Callithrix jacchus: one gene and its partners. The protein of the gene in region 3 interacts with the protein of the main gene of each other region in a pairwise test. Links are inferred from orthologs where the notes say so. Each region holds a gene or a part of one and is shown on either strand. Other genes may lie near its edges. The genes, in order: TACC1, CDR2 and SH2D4A.

Region 1 (3,657 bases), about 18 Mb from region 3:
GATGGGCTGAAAGGCAGAGTCGTGCCTGAGACTGCAGTTACAAAGCCATGAGCTGCTTTTGCTCTGAGGGCTGCCGAGATATCCGTGTTATCCTTCGTTTCTATTGAAAATGGCCGCACGATGGAAATTTTGCTAAAATCATGTTCAGGTTCTTCTTTGAAATTCTTGAGTGAGTGAGAGTCAACAGCCTGCTGTGGCACCTTATTTTCTGAAGGTTTAGAACAAGTCCCAGATGAACAGTTTTCAACCACTTCTGCTACAAGCTGTTCATCAGCTTCTTGTGATTCTAAAATGGGAAAAAAAAAACCCATCTATTAAAGAATTATCTTTCTGTCATCGGTAAATATTCTGTCCTACCTAAATTCACATAAACAAATAGCAAGTTCTTTCCTCTTTACTTCTATTAAGCATCTCTAAAGTTCAGCAAGGACGGCAGCACAGCCTGAAAGAGAACAGCTGGCACAACACCCTAAAATAAATTTTCTTATCCCAAGTTGTATATGTGCATTATCCAAGTGATAAGAATACCAAGTACACCAAAAGAACTATTTAGAGAAAGGATAAATAGAGCAACAGGCTGCTGCAATGTATATTATGTGTTGTTAACATTCTGTAGGTTAACACTGGTCTGGAGGAATCTTCAGAAACCAACAGCTACGGTGCAGGGATGCAGACTGGCACTAGGACAGTTCCTAGGCACGGCCTGACAGCTTTAGGGTCAGAGCTTTATGCAGTGAACAAATCTGAATTCAAAAATAAACTTAAAAAACCTACTGTGACCAACTCAGAATCATCTCTCTGTAGACCTAAAAACTAAAAGAGCCAAATAAGAAGCTAATTTGAAAAACCAGTTACAGAAATGGCTTTAAAACAAATAGCCCTTACTTCACTAAGACACAAATTATAAAACAATGAAGTTATTTTTTCTTTAGAACCTCTGTCTCTAAGATGGGCCAGGAATTCTCTAAATCACCTGTGAAAAATAAAAATCCTTTTAAATTGGGGTCTTACTAGGATGAGTGCTACAAATATTAGGAAGGTGTAAATGAGGTAATTTCATTAAAGTACAAAGTGATTTCCTGACGTAGATATCTGAAATAAGAGTAGCACAGAAAACTCAGTGAATTGGTTATAATATCTCATGATTTAAAAGAAAAAATTAAGAGATGACCCTCTAATCCTACTTCCTAATCCTGATCCAGGATCAGAGTCAAGTACCTCTGGAATATCATTGGAATAGTTTTTATTTTTGTTTCTCTTGAGACAGTGTCTCTGTTACCCAGGCTGGAGTGCAGCGGCCTGATCATGGCTCATTGCAGCCTTGATCTCCCAGACTCAAGTGATCCTCCCACATCAACCTCCCAAGTAACTGAGACCACAGGCATGAGCCACCATGCTTGGACAGACTCGCTAGGCTCAAGCAATCTGCTTGCCTCTGATTCCGAAAGTGCTGGGGTCACAGGTATAAGCCACTGTGCCTAGGCTGAAGTACCGTGGTGTGATCACAGCTCACTGCAGCCTCAAATTCCTGGGCTCAAGCAATCCTCCCACCTCAGCTCCCCGAGTAGTTGGGATTTGGAATCATTTTTTAAAGCACTCACATACCTTTCTCATGAATCTTTTATGATTATTATTGGGTAGTGGTTTATAAATTATACTTCACAGATATATTTCAGATAGTCTACAAATGTTCAATTAAATTTTTTCTTTTAACTATATGTTTAACTATTATTAATAATTATAATGTATTAAAACATCTCAATGCCTCATAACCAGAATTTGGTTTAACATATTTCAAAAGGATTTGTTATAAAAAGAGATAGTAAATATGGCAAAATCTTGGTAACTGTTGTCCAGGGATAGGTAAATGGGAGTTTCCATTGTACTATTTTCTCTGTCATATAGTTGCGAAACTTTTCATAAAAAATTTAAAAACTCAACTGCAATACATACAAAATTTTAAGAAGAACATTTTAAAGTGTATTGACAATTTCACTAACGTGTACAGATTCTATTACCTCTCTCCACATATGTGAACTGTTATAAATGTGTTGTTTCTTTCTGCTGATGACAGGGAGAGAGACAACTAAAAACAAGTCATCAACATCCTAGAGCTGCAAATATCTATGTGTGTCCATGTGCAACCGGCTCAGTTAAAAGACGGGCCAGGCCGGGTGCGGTGGCTCACGCCTATAATCCCAGCACTTTGGGAGGCCGAGGCGGGTGGATCACAAGGTCAAGATATCGAGACCATCCTGGTCAACAAGGTGAAACCCCGTCTCTACTGAAAATACAAAAATTAGCTGGGCATGGTGGTGCACGCCTATAGTCCCAGCTATTCGGGAGGCTGAGGCAGGAGAATTGCTTGAACCCAGAAGGCAGAGGTTGCAGTGAGCTGAGATTGTGCCATTGCATTCCAGTCTGGGTAACAACAGTGAAACTCTGTCTCAAAAAAAAAAAATACAGGCCAGTTGACAACACTGAGTCTTGAATATATCAAGGTGTAGATAGTTATTACTCCTTTTAAGTTTTAGTCCTTATTGTCAGCTTTTTAGATTTAACACAGGTGGTATAATAAAAAATATATTTTGTCTTTGTCCTCAGTTCCTGGCACAGAGCTCCTATAACCCTTGGAACCTCCTGACTGGACAGAGTGTCTTTTTTGTGCTAATAAATGACTGGGTTCTGGAGGTCCCTTGACAGCTGCAGGAAAGGACTGGTCACCAAAAATACCAAGTCAACTTTCAGCACTGCCCCTACTCCTTCCAGAGAGGGGAGAAAGGCTAGAAAATGAGCTCAATCACCAAAGCCAATAATTTAATCAATCATGCCTATGTGATAAAACTTATAAATACCCGTAAATGACAGGATCAGGGAGCTTCCAAGTTGATGAGCATGTTGACTTACTGGGAGGGTGGTGTGCCCAGAGGGCATGGAAGCTCTGTACTCCTGTAGGTATGGGGATACCTTGCCCTGTGTATCCCTTCCATTTGGTAGTTCCTGAGTTGTATCCTTCATAATAAGCCAATAAATGTAAGAATTTTCCTGACCTCTGTCAGTCATTCTAGCAAATTACTGAAACTGAGAAGAGGGGTTAGGAGAATCCCCAAATTTACAGCCAGTTGGTCAGAAGCACTGGGACTTGTGACTGGTATCTGAAATGGCAGCAGTCTCGTGGGACTGAGCCCTTAACTTGTGGGATCTGCACTAAGGAAAGATAGTGTAAGAAATGAATTTTTGGAAACCCAGTTGGTCCTAGAGAATCTGAGAACATCCAAAACAGGAAATGTGCCTTTTAACAGTGACTATTTAATAGACATGGCGCTATTTTTTTTTTTTTTTGAGACAGAGTCTTACTCTGTCACCAAGCTGGAGTGCAGTGGTGCAATCTGCTCACTCTGCCTCTTGGGTTCAAGTAATTCTCCTGCTTCAGCCTCCCGAGTAGCTGGGACTACAGATGTGCACCACCATGCCCAGCTAATTTTTTTTTGTATTTTTAGGAGAGACGGGGTTTCATCATTTTGACCAGGAAGGTCTCGGTCTCTTGACCTCGTGATCCACCTGCCTTGGCCTCCCAAAGTGTTGGTTTTATAGGCGTGAGCCATCACACCTGGCCGACACGGCACTAAATTAGCTGAGATTTTTTTTTTAAATGTT
Region 2 (2,799 bases), on a different chromosome or scaffold from region 3:
CTAATATTTTTTTAATGTTAAAAGTACTAGAGAACATCCATTCCCAAAGAACAGCAGTATGACAATGACCTCACATGGGGAGCCTTAAAAAGTACTGGTGCCTGGGTCCCTACCCACAGATTCCAACCTAGTTTGTCGGCCACCTGGCCTGAGTGTTTCTGAAGGCTCTCTGAATTATTCAAAATATGTAATTATGGTTGAATCACTACAACAAATCACTGTTGCCATGGTGATTTTTAACCAGGAAGGTTCATTGGAATTGCCTGGGCAGCTTTTTACCCCCACCTAGAAATTCTGATTTAGGCCTGAGGCAATGTGTTGGTATCTGCAATTTGAAAAACTCCAGAGGTGATCTGATACACAGCAGCCAAGGTTGAGTCCCACCAAAGGAACCACCTGGTTTCTCCTGCTCAGTCTGAGGCAGCTTGCATGACTATTTATTTGTGTTTTTATCTGCTTATCTGCTGTTACATTAGACTGAAAGATCACAGGGGTAGGAACTCTATTTTGCTCGCCATCCCTCAGGTCTGGCATACAGCTTGCCATACAACAGGTGTTCCATAAATACTTCTTAAAGATTCAGACTTGTAACTTAAATTTATAAAGGCAAAAAACCTCCTGTTCGTTTGAATGTTTGTTTCACCAACATTTCTATTTTTCTTCACTCTAATGTAAAACACAACTCTCAAATCTATAGTCTATTAGAAGAAATTCATCTTAAACTATGATTTAACACATTAAAAGCACTAAGTGCTCCAAGACTTTCAAAATGAGAATTACTAATATCCAAGAACTCTACAATTTATATGTTTAAGTGCTTTTGTTCAAACCAGTGGTAGCTTAATAGCTAAGTGACGTTTCTTCAAATGATATTTTCAATCTACTGGAATTCAGAATGTGTTGACATGAGACAGTCCCTGCTGTAACTCCAGGGTAAGACAGGCTCTTACTGGCGGAGGTCATAGAGCTCCTTTAGACATGCGAAGCTGGGTGCAGCTTTTTCCTGGTCACACTTGCCCTGGCTCCTCATCCCTCGGCCAGATGACTTCAGCTCCTCCACTTGGCTCTGGAGATGATCAATGTTGGTTTGCAGGCATTCAATCGTTTCAGTCAGGCTGTGAGGAACAGACAGAAGCCACTGCTGCTTGTCATATTCAATCAAGGGCAAAAGCAGTGAGGAGAGATTAGGTACAAGCCACTCACACGGGGCTTTCTTAATTGGAAAGGATGTCTATTTAATCTCCATTCTCCGAAAAGAATTAAATTAAACCTTATCCCATATTGACCCAAACCCACTGCAGCCATGTTCTATTCTAGTTTATACTAAAGAACTTCCCCCTAGGCTTTCCTTGAAAGATTCTAGAAAATTTACCTCAGAATCTTTTGCTGTGAGGCCTTGCTGTCAGCAACTAGCTTCTGATTTGTTTCTTCCAGTTCCCTTGCTGTGACGTCTAATTGTTCATAAACCTTTGCATGTTGTTCGTTCATCTGCCGTAGAAGCTCTACCTGCTTGGTCAGATACTGTAAGAGAAGATCAGGGCCAGGTGACACAAACAGATAAGTTACCTGCTATTCCTTGGCTGGGTATGGTGGGTCACCCTGTAATCCCAGCACTTTGGAAGGCTGAGGCGGGTGGGTCACCTGACCAGCCTGACCAATATGGTGAAACCACATCTCTACTAAAAATATAAAAATTAGATGGGCATGGTGGCACATGCCTCTAATTCCAGCTACCTGAGAGGCTGAGGCAGGAGAATTGCTTGAACCTGGGAGGCAAGAGGTTGCAATGAGCTGAGATTGTGCCATTGCACTCCAGCCTGGGCAACAAGAGCACAAACTCCATCTCAAAAGAAAAAAAAAACAAAAGTTACCTGCTATTCCAACATCGATTCTCTTTACCAACTATTGTCAGGGTGGAGGCTGGCATACAGTCTCCGTCTCTGGGCCCACTGCCCTCCCAGCATCACCATGTGTTCCCCAGCCCAGAAGCTCTCCTAGACCCATTTCAGTTTTCTCCAGGCCTTCTTCTCACATCAGCATTATTGATTCAATTATTGGCCATTGGTGGCTGAACTCAATCTCCAACCGTTCCCTCTACACAGAGATTGTGGGGCTGGGACTGATATATCTAACACCTCTAATCATGTGGTTGGTTCCTCTGGTGACCAGAACTCATTCTATCAGGAAATTCCAAGGGTTTTAGAAGCTCTATGCCAGGGACAAAGACCAAATACTAATTTTTATTATACCACAATATCACATTTATTTTAAGAAGAGAAGATATTAAACTCCGTCTTCATAAGAAATGAGCACAGGCTATCCTTTACAGACTTAGCTCCCCTGATGCTCACCAATACCCCAGTGCATCGTGAGGCTAATTTTCCAAAGCATATCATGCATAAAATATTCAACCGAAAAATCTAAAGTGAGACATAATAACCCCTTAAAAGCATGTAACGTGATCAAAATTTAAGCAAAAACATCACATTTAACAGAAAGTCTAACGTGGAGGATTTTAACTTGGAAGAAAGATCAATTTCTCTGAGCAAGGCATTCTGGACCAAAAAAAAAAAAAAATGAAAAGCATGTTGCTTTGACAAGAAAAGTATTTTAGCTTAATATGCTTCAAAGACCCCTGTTATTTTTAATTTTATGAGAATGCTGTCACCTTATTCATGAGAAATTTATCAGAGGATTTATTCTGGTCCTGCATTAAGACTGCTTCCTAAATGGCCAAGGATAAAGGAGAATAATCCCAACCTTAATGCTGCAGTGTAAGTCACCTTGATTCCCTCCCCT
Region 3 (3,657 bases):
GAAATATTTCTAGTTTTTTTAGTTTTTACTTCAGAAGGCAAGGCTTCAGACATTTCTGCTTCTATCAATATTTGATTTTAATACTTCTTTGTAAATCCTAGGATGTTAAAAATAAAATAAGATCAATAACCAGAAAAAAAATTTATAATCAGCAAACATAAGGGATGGGGGTTTCTGTAATAGCATCACTGCACTATTCTGCAGAGATTTTCCAGAACAAATGGTTCTTCCTAATTCTTCCACAGCCTAAGAGACAATAGCATCACCACCACCAAATAGACAATTCATTTAAAAAAAAAAAAAAAAAAAAGGAGCCTTTCCAAATTTTCGAAAGATAAACTTGGCTATTGTGGGAAGTGGAAAAGTCCCTCTAAAGTTTCCTTTCCTGTTAGAGAATAAGTTTGCTAATAACCCTTTATTAAGCCCTATCCTATGTACCTGTTAGACATGCTTATAGGAATGTAGTATATTCTATGTCCTTGTATTTTAAGATATCTGTGCTAGATGTGCTCACAGGCATGTCCCAGCTGGTAGCCTATGCCCCTTACCTGTTTAAAAAAGTTTTCAGTTGTTAGCCAATCCAGTTTTAGTTTGGATTGTGAAGTCTGGCTCCAACCAACAGAGATCAGACACAGCAGTAAAGACAACCACAAATGCATAAGAGATAAATATGTCTGCTTTCCTTTGTTCATTGTACTCTCGTGGCAAGAAGGCTAGTGAGGGTACCCTTTCTGCAGTACAGGAAGTAAAAAAGTAAAAATTGCTTTGCTGAGAGATCCATTGTCTCAGTGCTATTTTTCTTTGCAGCACCAAGCATCTGTTTCCAACAGCTATGTGTCCCAGAATGAGAATTACATCAAACCTTCAATCCTTGGCAGTGAAAACGTAGTCTTACTAATGACATGAAAGTCAGCAAGCCTTTGGGTTCCTACTTTGATTGTCATTGACTAAGGGTGACCTTGGGCATCAGTGAAATCCCCCCTTGCTTCCTCTTCTCCCCTCACTGGCTTGCCAGCTGCCTCTGGGTGGAAAAGGGGAGAGTGGGGTGGGGACACAGGAAGTTCTCTAACTCCATGCACGGCTTTACTATTTCACTGGGTATGCTAAATATAACACCTACGGATGTTTGACAGCTAAGAAGGGGAGGAGCGCCCGACCAGATAACCCAGGAAGAAGGCGTAGACGTCAGCCTGAGCTTACACAGGCTGCCAGTTGACCTCCCACACCCTATGGCAGCTCATACAATTCATCCTAATTTCAATGCTTACTCAAAGCCCATTGCAATGCTTAGGCCTAAAGCCATCTATTTGTTTGGCTTCTTACCTAAGAGGTTTTGGAGGATACGCTCCTGGGTTTAGGAACTGAGGCTTCGGTGGAAGGGGAGGTCTTTTTGGTTTCTGCGGAGCATGCAGGGGGCTTTGCAACCTCTCACCGCCTCTTCCTTTCTGGGCCCCGAGCGATAACCTCTTGTAGTCTTCTCGTGCTTGTTTAGCCAAGGAGCGTCTCTTCTCATCAGCTGCTTTGGATTTTCGCACTAGAAAAACAACAGGGTTGGAGAACATCCTCATCAGCCCCCAGAGCAGGTGAGAAGGCTCAGCATTGCACAACAGGCAGCAGCGCAGGTTACCAGCAGTTTGTGATCTGCTTATAATGAGGAACACTCATTATCAACACCTATGATCCAGGTCATTAGGACTTGCCCAGCGTTCACCGCAGGATTCCTCTCTTCATATGGGAGTTTGGGGATTTTCTGAGAGGGAGAGAAAAGGAAGAGGAGGAAGAAGGGATGAGAGAAGTATCAAAAGTGTGCAAGAATTTCCTGCAGTTGATAAGATCAGAGGAGTCCCTGCCTGAGCAAGGGTTCAAAGTGGCAAGGGTGCTGAGTAATAAGAGGCACTTGTCACTTCCTGCATAGACTCATGTTCAGATGCAGTGTGCCTGACTTGCTAGCAAAGATCTGGACTATTCAGTGGCATGGGGCTGTGCATAGGGTGAAGGAGCAGGAAGTGGGATAGAATGAGAATGAGCCCAACAGATAAAAAAATTAAAGAGATGCTTAACCACAGATAACTGTAGAACACATTAGAACACGAAGAAGTACCCCAAGCCTGCCTTTTAAAATTATAGTCACTCATCACTTAATGACAGGAACATGTTCTGAGAAATGCGTCCTGAGGCGAATGTAACCCAAAAGTATTTGTGTATCTAAACACCCCCAATATAAGGCTGGGCACAGTGGCTCATGCCTGTAATCCCAGCACTTTGGGAAGTCAAGGCACATGGATCACCTGAGGTCAGGAGTTTGAGACCAGCCTGGCCAACATGGCAAAACCCTGACTCTACTAAAAGTACAAAAAGTTAGCCAGGCATGGTAGCAGTCGCCTCTAATTCCAGCTATTCAGGAGGCTGAAGCAGGAGAATCTCTTGAAAGCAGGAGGCAGAGGTTGCAGTGAGCCGAGATCACGCCATTGCACTCCAGCCTGGGGAACAAGAGCAGAAACTCCATCTCAAAAAATAAAAAATGAAAAAACTACCCCCAACGTAGCAAAGGTATAGTAAAAATATAGTATAGAGGACAAAAAAATGATGCAGCTATATAGGGTACTTACCAGGACTGGAAGATGCTCTGGGTTGAGTCAGTGAGTGAGTGCTCAATGAATGCTAAGGCCTAGGACATTACTATACATGAATGTAGACTTTATAAACACTTTATACTTGGGCTATACTACATTAATAAAATGTATTAAAAATATCTTTATTTTAAAAATATATGCAACCTATTATTTTGTGTCTTTTTTTTTTTTTTTTTTTTTTTGAGACTGAATCTCAATCTGTTGCCCAAGCTGAAGCACAGTAGTATGATCTTGGCTCACTGCAACCTCTACCTCCCAGGTTCAAGCGATTTTCCTGCCTCCGCCTCCTTAGTAGCTCGGACTACAGGTGTGCCCCACCACACCCAGCTAGTTTTTGTATTTTTAGTAGAGATGCGGCTTCACCACGATGGCTAGGCTGGTCTGGAACTTGCGACCTCAAGTGATCGACCCAGCTTAGCCTCCCAAAAGGCTGAGATTACAGGAGGGAGTCACAGCACTTGGCCTAAAAAATATATACAACCCATCGTTGGCCAAAACATCATTATACAGCACATGACTACTTTGCAAAACAGTTTTTTGTTGTAGCAATGAGACTCTAATGCAGAATGAAAAAGTAATTTTTATTGAGTATATTTACTCTTCAGGCATTATTGGTCAAATCCTGTTATGTTTGACTTCAAAGAGATACCCAAAATATTCCCTTATACTAGGATTTCACTGCATAGTACAAAGAGGCCACTGGATCTTGCGAATATTTTTATTTCACAGACATTGTCATTTAAATGGCATTGGCTGTAATGGGATTGCAGATCAATTTAGGATCGCAACATCCTGCAAATGCAGCCACACCTGTGTTCTTCCTCAAGCTGCCTCAGGATGATCCAGCAGTTCAGACTTCTCTGAGTCAGACTGAAACACTACTTCTTTCTCAAACCTAATTCTTCTAGCATTCTGGAGCATCCTCTGCTCTGCCATGGGCTTCTTCTTATCCTGTAAGTTTTCTCACTGGCTCTGCTAACTGAAAAAGGAGTCAGGGCTGGAGCACAGGCAGGAGCAGGATGCT

The links.
Region 1: the proteins of SH2D4A (region 3) and TACC1 interact in binary tests that used the Homo sapiens proteins (3 or more experiments, as listed by UniProt). The two-hybrid records come from large-scale screens. The link is inferred for Callithrix jacchus from reciprocal best matches to the Homo sapiens genes SH2D4A and TACC1.
Region 2: the proteins of SH2D4A (region 3) and CDR2 interact in binary tests that used the Homo sapiens proteins (3 or more experiments, as listed by UniProt). The two-hybrid records come from large-scale screens. The link is inferred for Callithrix jacchus from reciprocal best matches to the Homo sapiens genes SH2D4A and CDR2.

The regions. Positions count from the first base shown.
Region 1 is NC_133514.1:39,644,601-39,648,257, reverse strand, and holds part of TACC1 (transforming acidic coiled-coil-containing protein 1), read right to left. Parts: intron 287-3,657; coding exon 1-286. UniProt on the Homo sapiens protein: Involved in transcription regulation induced by nuclear receptors, including in T3 thyroid hormone and all-trans retinoic acid pathways. Might promote the nuclear localization of the receptors.
Region 2 is NC_133513.1:22,941,527-22,944,325, forward strand, and holds part of CDR2 (cerebellar degeneration-related protein 2), read right to left. Parts: intron 1,522-2,799; coding exon 1,373-1,521; intron 1,116-1,372; coding exon 951-1,115; intron 1-950.
Region 3 is NC_133514.1:22,141,056-22,144,712, forward strand, and holds part of SH2D4A (SH2 domain-containing protein 4A), read right to left. Parts: intron 1,535-3,657; coding exon 1,324-1,534; intron 1-1,323. UniProt on the Homo sapiens protein: Inhibits estrogen-induced cell proliferation by competing with PLCG for binding to ESR1, blocking the effect of estrogen on PLCG and repressing estrogen-induced proliferation. May play a role in T-cell development and function.